3 linked regions of the Xenopus tropicalis genome follow. The protein of the gene in region 1 purifies or fractionates together with the protein of each later gene. This does not show direct contact. Links are inferred from orthologs where the notes say so. Each region holds a gene or a part of one and is shown in the gene's direction. Other genes may lie near its edges.

Evidence for each region.
Region 2: the proteins of fbxo10 (region 1) and retinal rod rhodopsin-sensitive cGMP 3',5'-cyclic phosphodiesterase subunit delta purify together in Homo sapiens (affinity purification with mass spectrometry; 3 studies listed by BioGRID and IntAct, with this or other methods). This does not show direct contact. The link is inferred for Xenopus tropicalis from reciprocal best matches to the Homo sapiens genes FBXO10 and PDE6D.
Region 3: the proteins of fbxo10 (region 1) and acsl4 purify together in Homo sapiens (affinity purification with western blotting; 3 studies listed by BioGRID, with this or other methods). This does not show direct contact. The link is inferred for Xenopus tropicalis from reciprocal best matches to the Homo sapiens genes FBXO10 and ACSL4.

The regions. Positions count from the first base shown.
Region 1 is NC_030677.2:109,017,571-109,021,781, forward strand, and holds the start of fbxo10 (F-box only protein 10), read left to right. Parts: upstream 1-1,352; 5' UTR 1,353-2,092; intron 2,093-4,211. UniProt on the Homo sapiens protein: Substrate-recognition component of the SCF (SKP1-CUL1-F-box protein)-type E3 ubiquitin ligase complex. Mediates the ubiquitination and degradation of BCL2, an antiapoptotic protein, thereby playing a role in apoptosis by controlling the stability of BCL2.
Region 2 is NC_030681.2:101,158,336-101,161,989, reverse strand, and holds part of retinal rod rhodopsin-sensitive cGMP 3',5'-cyclic phosphodiesterase subunit delta, read left to right. Parts: intron 1-1,464; coding exon 1,465-1,553; intron 1,554-2,816; coding exon 2,817-2,942; intron 2,943-3,654. UniProt on the Homo sapiens protein: Promotes the release of prenylated target proteins from cellular membranes. Modulates the activity of prenylated or palmitoylated Ras family members by regulating their subcellular location.
Region 3 is NC_030684.2:51,167,125-51,170,778, reverse strand, and holds part of acsl4 (long-chain-fatty-acid--CoA ligase 4), read left to right. Parts: intron 1-518; coding exon 519-696; intron 697-2,763; coding exon 2,764-2,873; intron 2,874-3,003; coding exon 3,004-3,142; intron 3,143-3,654. UniProt on the Homo sapiens protein: Catalyzes the conversion of long-chain fatty acids to their active form acyl-CoA for both synthesis of cellular lipids, and degradation via beta-oxidation. Preferentially activates arachidonate and eicosapentaenoate as substrates.

The DNA.
Region 1 (4,211 bases):
AAAACTTGTCTGCCATATACTCCAAAATGCAACCCTTAGGCTAATGCCACATGTAGCGTATGGGCATATTTTCGACAAGCCAAAAACTGCTTGCTGACAATACGCCACATACGGTTAAAATCCTCCTACTTGTGCCTGCACCAGCAATGAATACACTCGGGTGCAGGTACATGTAGCCTATATCCAGAATACTTTGCATTTTCGGCAGATATCGGCTACATGTGCCCGCACCTGATTATATTCAATGCATTCAGGTGCAGACACAGGTAGGAGGATTTTTAATCCTATGTAGCGTAATCTCGTCAAGCGGATTTTGGCTTGCCAAAAACATGCTCCACACGGTATGTGTAACATTAGCCTATTCTCACCCTCTTTAAATAAAAACTTTATCTATAACTTTATCAAAAGTAAATAAACTAAAACTTATTTACCTGGTATATAGCTCCCTTGTTCCATCAATTTCTACTTTTAAGCAGAAATGTAGTAAATGGTGCCAGGTTTGCTGAGGTCATATAACCCATACATAGCAACCAGCCATCTGTTGGCTAACTGCAATTATAATCTTACAATTGCTTTGTCTTGGGTTACCAGACTAGGCAAATGTTTGGTTTTCTACAAATTTGGTGAAAACACACTTTAAAGTGGGTGGAGTCTTAAGGGCGTTACTCGGGCCGCAAATCCTTCCCACCTGGCCCCCCATCCAAAAACATTTTCTGCTGCCCCTGGCCAAAAGTACAGCAAAGCTGCTCCCATCCTAGCGATACTTACAGGATAAAGGCTCTTCTGTAGTTGTTTCAGTCACACTGGGATGGGGGAAGCGTGATCCTTCCATAGGCTTACTACAAGTAAAAACAGTACTCCAGTCTATGGAAGGATTGTGCTTCCTCCAGCCCAGCGTGACTGATTCTCAGACTATTTTTTATAGCCTATCTTATAATATTCATTTAAATTCTCTTGCTTTATGATAGTTCTGTTACTTGGATGTCGGACTCACTAATTCCTGCCCTGGGCCCATTGGTACCTTAAAGCAGCCCTGCCCCGGTATGGTCAACTAAACATGCACTGATGCTGAAGCAGGGAGGACGAAGGGAGAGGCATGTTGTAGCTGCTTGAAATGTGGCCATGGAGAAATAATAGAGCGGCGCACAATATTTATGGATATACTCAAGGCTGTGCTAAAGGGGATTGGGACACTTTTATCTTACCTTTCCTAGATGATGTTTCTGTTGTTCCTGCTACTTGGTCCCTGACATACACTTGGTTTCTCTTGCTTTCCTCCTTCTACTGCAGACCCTCCTCCACTCCCCCTTTTTATCAGTGCTAAGCCTTCATTCCTCCTCCCAGTTTCCCACCCCTTCAGGATGCAATTGTTCCCTTCCCCTCATCCCTCACACAGCCCTCCCCTCCCTGCTCTCCCTCCCTCCCTCATCTCCCTTACCATGCTGTCTCTTGCAGGCTGCCAAACAAAAGGCCCTCATGGGGCCTCGCTAGCAACTTCAAGCTTGTCTAATATGTAGAGACTCCTCCTTACAGGATTCTCTCTTTCCCCCGGCGTCTGGCTGGTGAATAGCTGCTATATTCTTTGGATACCACAGGAGGGGCCTCTTCAGCGATTCCTATTTCTCCAGTACTCTATGGTCAGCCCATGCACTAGCCGGGAGCACACAGGATACTTGCATTGGCAGCAGCAGCAGCAGCAACTGTGAGGCTGCAGTACCAACACCGGCTGTGTGTGTCCTGTAGCTGCTAGGGGGGAACTTAGTGCATCACAACAGATTCCCCTCTCTTCTTATCATTGGCAAGTATAATGATTTCCTCTCCTGTGGGCAGTGTAGCAAACGTGTAGGCTATTGGGATGGGATGGGATCTGCAAACAGGAACGTACAGATGCCACACAAGTGACGGACTGCTGGCTCCCCACCTGCACATGTAATGCTCCCTGAGGTATCCGGCCGGAGCATCCCTGTGCGCTCTGACTGTGCGACAGGATTGTTGTGGGATGTACTGATACAGAACTGAGGTGCTTCTGGCAAGTCAGACTTTTATGCTAGCTGCAAATGAAGAAAGTGGTGGGACCGTGCGGTATAATCACGTATGTACATTATGTTGATGTTAAAGTGCTATTATACATATATTTATAATTGTAATATACATATATTTATAATACATATAGATAAAGGTTTGTGTGTTAGGTATATGTGTGTATTTGCTATTACAAGCTTACTTTATTCAATTATTGTAATTATAGATTATTATGCCAAGAACCTGGCATACACAACACCACATTATTGCTTTACTGCCCTGACTTTCAACCAACCTTGTGGTATTAAACCCACAGCTAACACTCAGTATGTGACTTTGTGGCGCTAGGAAGTATAGCCAGAAATGGTTTGTTTGTACAGGTACATTCTATCTGTATATCTCATCTAACATCTCTGTCACTGTTTGCTTGATTTCTCATTTCCAGAGCTACACATTTGAGTAGAATTATATTTTTGTAAAAAACATAACAACCCATTTCTCTGGATTTGCTGTTCTCAGTACTAAAATAATTGGCATTTGTGTATTTTGGTAAAACAAGGAATTGCATAGGTATGAGATCTGTTATCCACAAAGCTGATCTAGTATCAACAAAACTGTTACCAACTTTAACCAAAAGCAAATTATTTTTTGTTTATGAATGATTTGCTTATCCTTTCTAATAAGACAACAGTATGTTGTGCTTAATGTCAATTATGCTAGCATAAATCCATGTTAATGGAAAACCATTTCTATTGGTTATTTTAAAATATAAATTTTCTTTGTAGCCTTAAGGAATGGTGCTCTATATTATGGAAATATCCCTTATCCAGAAACCCAGGTTGTAAGTATTCTGAATTATAGGTAAAACAGAAAATGCACAGTTGTACTTCCTAAATTTTGAATTCATGTCTGAATTGTATATTTTAGTATAGGTATGAGATCCCTTATCCGGAAACCCGTTATACAGAAAGCTCCGAATTACGGAAAGCCTGTCTCCCATAGACTCCATTTTAATCAAATAATTCAGAATTTTAAAAAGGATTTCCTTTTTCTCTGTAGAAATAAAACAGTACCTTGTAATTGATTCCAACTAAGATATAAATAATCCTTAATTAATTGATTTTTTAGTAGAGGTATGGAGATCCAAATTATGGAAGACCCCTTATCCTTAATACCCTTGGTCCCGAGCATTCTGGATAATGGGTCCTATACATGTACACCATTGGGATGCATGTTATTGTGCATGTATGGGATCTCTTATCAATGAACTTACAGGAAGAAATTACAGGAAGGCCATATCCAATAAGATCAATTTTAAGCAAATAATTCTAATTCTGTTTATGCTTTCTCTGTAATGTAGCTTGTACTAGCTGATGACTAAGCTGTACGAATCTATATTAGTGGCATAACAATCCTGTTGGGCTTATTTAATGTTTGAATTTTTTAGTAGACTTGAAATTATGGAAAAACCTGAAAAAAAGGTCTCAGTATTCTGGATAATAAATAAAATAGTAGTAATTATAAAATACTACAGTTCCTATATGAATGGTTCATACTGGACCAGTTCTGAACTATTTTTCAGAGTTCCTAATCTCTGAAGAGTAGGCTATAAGAATATCATTTGTAGCAGACAAGGGAAGCTGAACTATTTTTACAAGGAACTACTTTCTGAATAATATCTCTCATTGCTACAATTCCCTCCTGCCTCCTCCTCACATCATTGTTGTGTGCCCAGTTTAAAAGATTTTTTTCTTACATTCTAGATTATTGTGTTTTGGAGAGCAACATATTTATTTACTTTTTTGTAGGTGAAGTTAGGCTTTACATAACTAAATTCCTTTCTGGACTTATAATCTCCTATTTGGCATAACTAGGAAGCTGCTTACATTGCTGTGATTGTCGACCCCTGTTGTAGTCTTAGAATGATCTGTCTCTAGTGCGCATGCCTGGGGAGCTGATCCCTGTGACTAAAAAGAGGTCATAAGATGGTATATGTGGACACAACTGCAGAGCTCTGCATTCTTGCCACTAATACAAAATGCTTTATTTAAGGGTAGTGACCTTGTAGGAATAGGGAATAAAAAAAAAAGATCTATTATTTGATTTGTAAATACTGACTAGCTGGATTAGGATCATACATGCTAGATGAGAGTTAACAGAGGGGTAAAGAAAAAAGACATTGACAAATA
Region 2 (3,654 bases), on another chromosome or scaffold:
AATGGTGGGTCCAAGGTTTCCTCAGAGCCCTGGCGTCTAAAGAATTGAGTGTACATGTGACTCTTATGCTGAATGCCAGAAATTAAGTCAACCTGGCTTGGAAAACATTCATTGCAGTTGTGTCCAGTTTACTGAGAAGTTTCAGTGCAATTGCGTTAATTATAACTTATTGGTACACTGTAAGATTCTTGTTTGGTGAGCTCACCAAGCGAGCAGATCTTCTCCCGATATGCCCGCCTTTGGGTGGGCAATATTAGGCCAATTTGGCCGTTTGGCTCTAGGGACGAAAAATTGAATTCAAACAGTGGGCATAACCACCTAGTGCTGGGCGGTATACCGGTTTAACCGGTATACCAGTTTTTTTAAAAAAAAAACTATATGAATTTTCAACATACCGCTATACCGGTATGCGCGCCTCCTGCTATTTTTCTCCAATTATATCCGGGTTGCGCCCGTGCGTACGTGACGTCAGCGCGCACGCGACGTCGCTAGGACGCATCGCTGGAGGGCTTAAGTGATGGTGTGTTTGTTATAGAAGGCTGGGTTGATAAATAGTTCATTTATGCACATTGCCTCCTGGTGGTGAATTTATGCAACTTTTCTCTATTGTATTTAACATACTTTCTGCCTAAAGTTTTAATTACGAGCCATCTTTGGTTCTGTTATTTGTTGCACTGATCAGTACAGAACAGTGACATTGATAGCACTTTCATTTCACAAAAATGTAGTTAAATTAACAACCACAATGAATCCAGATTTGAACATGAAAACGCTATGCATTTTAATCCAGGAATCTGCTCTGTATGTGTGCTGACTGGCTGATTTCTTGCCTGTCAGGACGCACATCCAGGGAGTGAATTATATATAAGTATCTCTAATATAGAAGATATAAATTATCTGGTTGGGGGGGGCCCACCAATATTTATTATTTATTATTTATTTTTTATTTATATACCGTCAAATACCGTGATACCGATATAATTTTGAAAAATACCGTGATATAAATTTTTGGTCATACCGCCCAGCTCTATAACCACCATCAGTTTGGGGACTGATCCAGATCCTATGCAGTCCCCGATTCAATGGAAAAATCAAACCTGCCTGATTGAGAGCTGGCCAATTTCAGTACAGTTCAGTCAGGGGCTCCGCAGGCAGATAAGCTGGCGAACCATTGTAAAGGACTGGTATCAGCAGCTGAAATCGCCCAGTGTATGGCCACCTTGAAAAACCGATTCGAGAAACTCAGAATACTCAGCTCTAGTGCTAGAAAGGAAAAGGTAGAGGAAGCAAGCTTCTAGGCTGTTTAATATCTCAAAAACTACAGGAAAAGGATAATGAACAGATTTGTAAAACAGATTTGTTTTTTTAGTACTCTGTTTTAGTTTTACAGTGCATTCAACAGATTTAGCAATAAAAAGAGTGTTCTATATTTCACTTGAATTTCCTTAATGATGACATTATCAGGAACTGGATGAATCTCCGAGATGCAGAAACTGGGAAAATTTTGTGGCAGGGTACAGAGGACCTGTCGGTTCCAGGGGTTGAACACGAAGGTAATGTATTATGCTCAGTTAATGTTGTTTCATTGTGTCATAACAGTTATACTACTCAAATACAAGGGAATAACAAATGGTATAGACAGCATATTTCATAGATTTCAAAGGCATATGAATTAGTATTTCTTTATGAAACACTCAAAAACATTAACACACTGACAGGTCACCAGAGAATTGGTATAGCCGTTAGTAAATTAATAATGGATACATGCAAGCAAACGTGTAACAGCAGGCATGTAGATCCATTCCTGGTGGATACAGAGGTATTGTTTCATTGTTCCATTTAGCTTCACAGTAATGCAGCAGGGTTTCAAGTATTCAAAGGAATATGTTTTTTACCCCGGGCTGGTGCCCCTGTACGGAGAGAACAGCACCAGCCCGGGGTAGCTGCAGCGCTTCCTCCTTCCTTTATCGCTGCGTGCTCATGCGCAGTAGAGTGAAAAGCTGAACTTTAACAGAGAAGTCGGCTTTTCACTCTACTGCGCATGCGATTGTCCGGGACAAACAGCAGCAGCGCGAGTAGGAAGGAGGAAGCGCTCGCTACAGCTACCCCGGGCTGGTGCTGTTCTCTCCCAACAGGGGCACCAGCCCGGGGTACAAGGTAAGCAATTAAAGTCACTTGGGGGTGCCTAACATTTTGGCACCCCCAAGTGACTTTGCCTTTCCTTCTCCTTTAAAGGGGTGGATCACCTTTGTGAATATTCCCAGCAACTTTGCAGTTGGTGGTCTTATTTCTTTTTTTATAGTTTTAAAAATTCTAAATTGTTTGTCTTCCACTTCTATGTCTTTTTTTTTTTTAGCTTTCAAATGGGTTCACAGACCCCAACAGCAAGACACTATTGCTCTGTGAGCTTACAGTTTTATTATTGTTGTTACTAATCTTTCTCTTCTGTACCTCTTATTCGTATTACAGGCTTTTTTTTTTAATCCACTGCCTGGTTGCTAAGGTAAACAAAACCATAGCAATCTGCTGCAGAAATTACAAAACCTGAGCGCTGCTAAACAAAAAGCTGAATAGCGGAAAACCACAAAGCAAATGATGGCCAATTGCAAATTGCCTTAGAATATCACTGTTTGCATCATACTAAAAGTTAAAGGTGAACAACCCTTTTATGTAAGAGCTAGTAAAAGCTCATAAAATGCAGAAGGTTCTCCTTTAAAACACTTTCCAGTCTTCAGAAGCTATTTCCCAGTGATTTTGATAGGGACTTGGTTATATCACAATACATAGTTTGTTTAAGTTCTTCTCTGTTTTTGCAGCTCGAGTACCAAAGAAAATTTTAAAGTGTAAAGCTGTTTCTAGGGAGCTAAATTTCTCTTCTGCGGAGCAGATGGAGAAGTTCAGACTTGAACAGAAAGTATACTTCAAAGGTCAATGTCTAGAAGGTAAGCAGAATTCTAAATATAAGTGGCAAGATCTAGTCATTGGCAGAAGATGTTAATATGTACATTTACCTAGGCTCAGGATAGTCTCTCATGCTGCAGAACTTCTACAACTTTAGCATGGAAATGGTGGTACTTTTTACCTTAAAGGTGATGTAAACCCCAAAAATATGAAAGAAAATGGTAAGTTGGTACAGCAGTAAACAATATTATGATAAAGGATGTCCTGCACAAGTAGGCGAACAGACCGTGGTGAGAGATCCTTTCTACCCTACATTGTTTCCAAGCTTGTAAAATCATAATAGCCATGTTTCTTAATGTGTATGTGGTATGAAGTAAGGTTGATAGTTTTTATAAAACGATTCTTTATTTGGGATGTTAGATGCTATGTGTTTTATAGGGGGCTTCTAGTTGTACCCATCTCTTTTTTTAGTATGAAGAAGGGGGCAGTGTGTAGTGTGTCAGAGATATGCTTTGTTGTAGGGAATTAGCTTTGAAAGAAAAAAATCCTCCATTTTACCTATGGGCTTTGCATTGTGTGTTAATGCAGAGGGACCTGCAATGACTCTACTACTTGATACAAAAAGCCTTGGCAGTGAGGTCATATATCCTCATTCTTCTCCCAGCTCCTGAAATATGTAGGTCATGTCTTATAAGCTGAGCAAGGGTCTCAACTGCCAATGCAAAAATCAAAGGAAATGTCAAAATGTAGTTG
Region 3 (3,654 bases), on another chromosome or scaffold:
GAACTGAGTTGCAGTAGATGGTTGTCTTTCGCCGAACACTCAGCTGCTTTATATGTCATTAGATTCAAGTTCTTCCTACATGATCCGCCCAGCCTGATTTTTATTTTTTTTCTTCAACAAGTTGGGCAAGCATTAGACTTCAAATTCCCATTAGTCCTTTTTCATTGTCATCTGTATTGAATTGCACATGGGTTCTCTGTTTCATGACCTAAAACGGCACAGTTTTTAGGTTATAGTGCAGCCAACTGTTATATTTTGGGGTATTATTCAGTAACTGTTTTGTATTTCACCTGAACCTGAAACTTCACAAGCTTCAGTTATTAAAAAAACAAATTTCTGGAGTTTGTAGCTTAAGACCCTCTGACAGAGGAAAATCCATTGATATTTCAGTAAGAATGTAAACACAACAATATACACTTTTTTAGAAATGGCAATGATATTGTAGACTTTCTTAGATGTGACCGTTTATTTTTGTAATGCATGACTTACCTGTATACTTATTGTCCTGTGTTTTGCAGCTAATTTTGGGAGAATACAAATGGCTTAGCTATGAAGAAGTAAGCTTAAGAGTGCACCATCTTGGGAGTGGCCTGTCTGCCTTAGGTTTGAAACCAAAGAGCACAATTGCAATATTTTGTGAGACCAGAGCAGAGTGGATGATTACTGCACAGGCATGCTTTAAATACAATTTTCCCTGTAAGTATTTTAAGTGTTTAACCTTTCACATTGTTCCAAGGAAAACCCTGAATCATTTCTCATCATACTTCTGTTAGTTTTGCAAGCTTTTCTGGCTGCTTAAAATAAAAGGTCTGCCCTTTTTCTGGGACATGCTCCATTTAAAAGCATGTATTGATAGCTTTCTCACTTGTGGGACAGCAATTTGAAGAAGACAAATATTTTTCCATAGGCGATCAACTTAGTAGCAAAAAGATAATGTTTGAATGAAGACTCTCCTAGAAAAGACCGGCCTGGCCTTTTGTTTTAATCAACTGTGAGATTTAAATATTTTACATAAGGTTTACTGCCCCTTTCTAAACTGGTGTATTGGTATATTATTATGTCATCATCATTCTTGATTCTTAACTAAACGGAGATGTTATCTGTCTCCACTTATTTACTCTTGTCAAAAGGATAGGCTAGTACTGGTTTTAGCAAGTGCAACAGAAACTGTAACGTGCAAGACAATCCTTCCCCTCCCTAAGTGCATGCATGAATGAATGACTGAATGCATAGCAGGCATGTTTGCGGTACAAAAGCCAAGCTGCTTTGCTAGAATATAACTTAAGAAGGCCATACACTATATGATTCTGTCATTTGCCAAGGTCACCAATTATAGTTGCATTAGCCTATCCGGCAAGTAGAAGAATTTGCACTGTTTTTAAGAAAATTGCCCCTATATGTAAAAAAAAAAAAGGCACAAAGTTTGCCCTGGTGCAGTAATCCACATCAACCAAGTTTGCTTCTTATACAGATAACAAGTAAATGCTACCTGGTGATTGCCATTAGTGACTTGACCTGTAGAAAACTTTGTGCATTTTGTTTACGTAACCCCTATAATGTACCATGATGGAGTAGAAAATATTATTGGATCCCACGTAAGGCATTACGTGATTCCATTTAGGGCCACCACTGCACACTTTCAGGGCCCCCAAAAGAACTACCTTGTGATATATTTATTTCTGTTACCTTATTGTCACATAAATGTTACATTTCTTAAAGAATGGAATGGTAGGAAATTGTATATATTCAGCTGTTCTTGAGGCTGGGCTGCTTGCAGTAATTCCACTCCCTCCTTATAGAGTGTCTAGACTTGTCTCCTCTTACTGTTGTGTGCCACTTTAGTTTTTCACTGGTTTTGCTAATACTGAAACATATATGGCTAAGGTATAGATGCGGAAGCCACAGTGTTATGAGCGTGCTAGTAAGGGAATAATGAGCAGATGTAATTTGTAGAGGTTGATGTGCCACGAGATGTCCCATATCTGATGTAATATTGGGTAAGTTTGCAGGCTTTACTGAAGAGGCATGTTTTAATGGAAGGGGAGTATCCAAAGTCACAGGGTAATGAATTCCAAGATTTTGCAATAGTTTTAGTGGGAGATGATTAATAAGTGGACTGGTATTCTGCTTGTTTTCTAACTCTGAAAGGAGCATATTTTTGAAATGCTTAAGATGTAGCTGGCATTTATAATTCCAATATTGCGAACCAGCGTGCCAGATTAAATGATTGTGTTGTTCACTATAACAGACAACACTTGGGGGTAGGGTATGTGTCACTGCTTTCCAGATTATTTGCACTGCCTGTGTCCTGTTACCCACTATAACATTTTGCTGACTAGCTAAGCCACAAAACTTGCAAACTTGTTTTATATAGAGGAAGCTAAAATTCCCTAGACTTCCCCATATTATTAACGTTCATTTGCAGATATGTATTTCCTGTATATCCCCAACATCACCCCTCCTGGTTCCTGACTGCCCTGCCCGGGCAAAAAACCATAGTATTTGTTTTTGACTGAGGCATTTGTACTGTAGAGCAGTATAATATCTCGGAATTTATTTTATCTACTGGGCCCACTGAAGTGTGGCCTTCCTCAGTGCCAGGCTGAAGCCCCAAGCAGCTGTATTGAAAATAGCAATTTGGAAGAGATGTCTGACATTTGAAGGATGTATTGTATAAAAGCTGTTAAGAGCCTGGCAAGCATTATCCTATTTTACATTACTTTAAATTTATTATTACATATAAATTGTTTTTAATCCTAACAGTGGTGACTTTGTACGCAACACTTGGAGAAGAAGCAGTAGCATATGGCTTAAATGAATCTGGAGCAAGCTATCTCTTTACCAGTGCTGAACTTCTAGAGACTAAGTTGAAGGTGTGTATAGATACTTCTGCATATTCCTTACAGTAAAACACCCAGGATAAGAAAACAAACAGAAACCCACCAATACATATTTTTACTTCCGTACCTGAAGCACTGTCTGTATTTTTCTTTGCATTTTCAGAGTGTTCTTTCACAAGTCACAGGCCTTAAGCATATCATTTATGTTGGCAAGAAAAACATAAGCAAAGCAGAATATCCTGCCAGCCTGGAGATCCATAACATAGAAGCAGTGGAGGAATTGGGAGCCAAACAAGAGAACTGTGAGTATGGCTCCATGCTGCCAAAAATATATTTTGTTTTTAAATCTTCACCTTTAATTGTACTTTAAAATCAGAAACATGTCTATATTACAAGTTACTAATCCAAGCTTTTTCTATCTCCAAGTTTTTGTTTTTTTTTGCTGTAGAGCTGATTGTCCCAGAATTTGAGTTTAGATTCTCCTTTACTATCTAGGAATTCGCCAGACAGCCTTGTGTTTCCACCATATTGCAATTAGTCATTGGGAGGTGATCAGCCACCCAGGAAGTAATAAGGGCCCTCTCCCTTCCATGTATTTTTATCCTGGTGCTTCTAATTGCAGTCATTGGGAAGCAACTGTGACGTTTTAATGGTGGTGATGATGATCAATACGCCTTGTGTACCTTAGTTGCATTTAAAGTGAATCTGACACTTTAATTACTTGAATGTGTGCTTTGCAACTACATATAACAAAAAAACATAAAACCTGTTTGCAAGGGAATTCAACAACAACATCTGGTAACCTCTATTGATA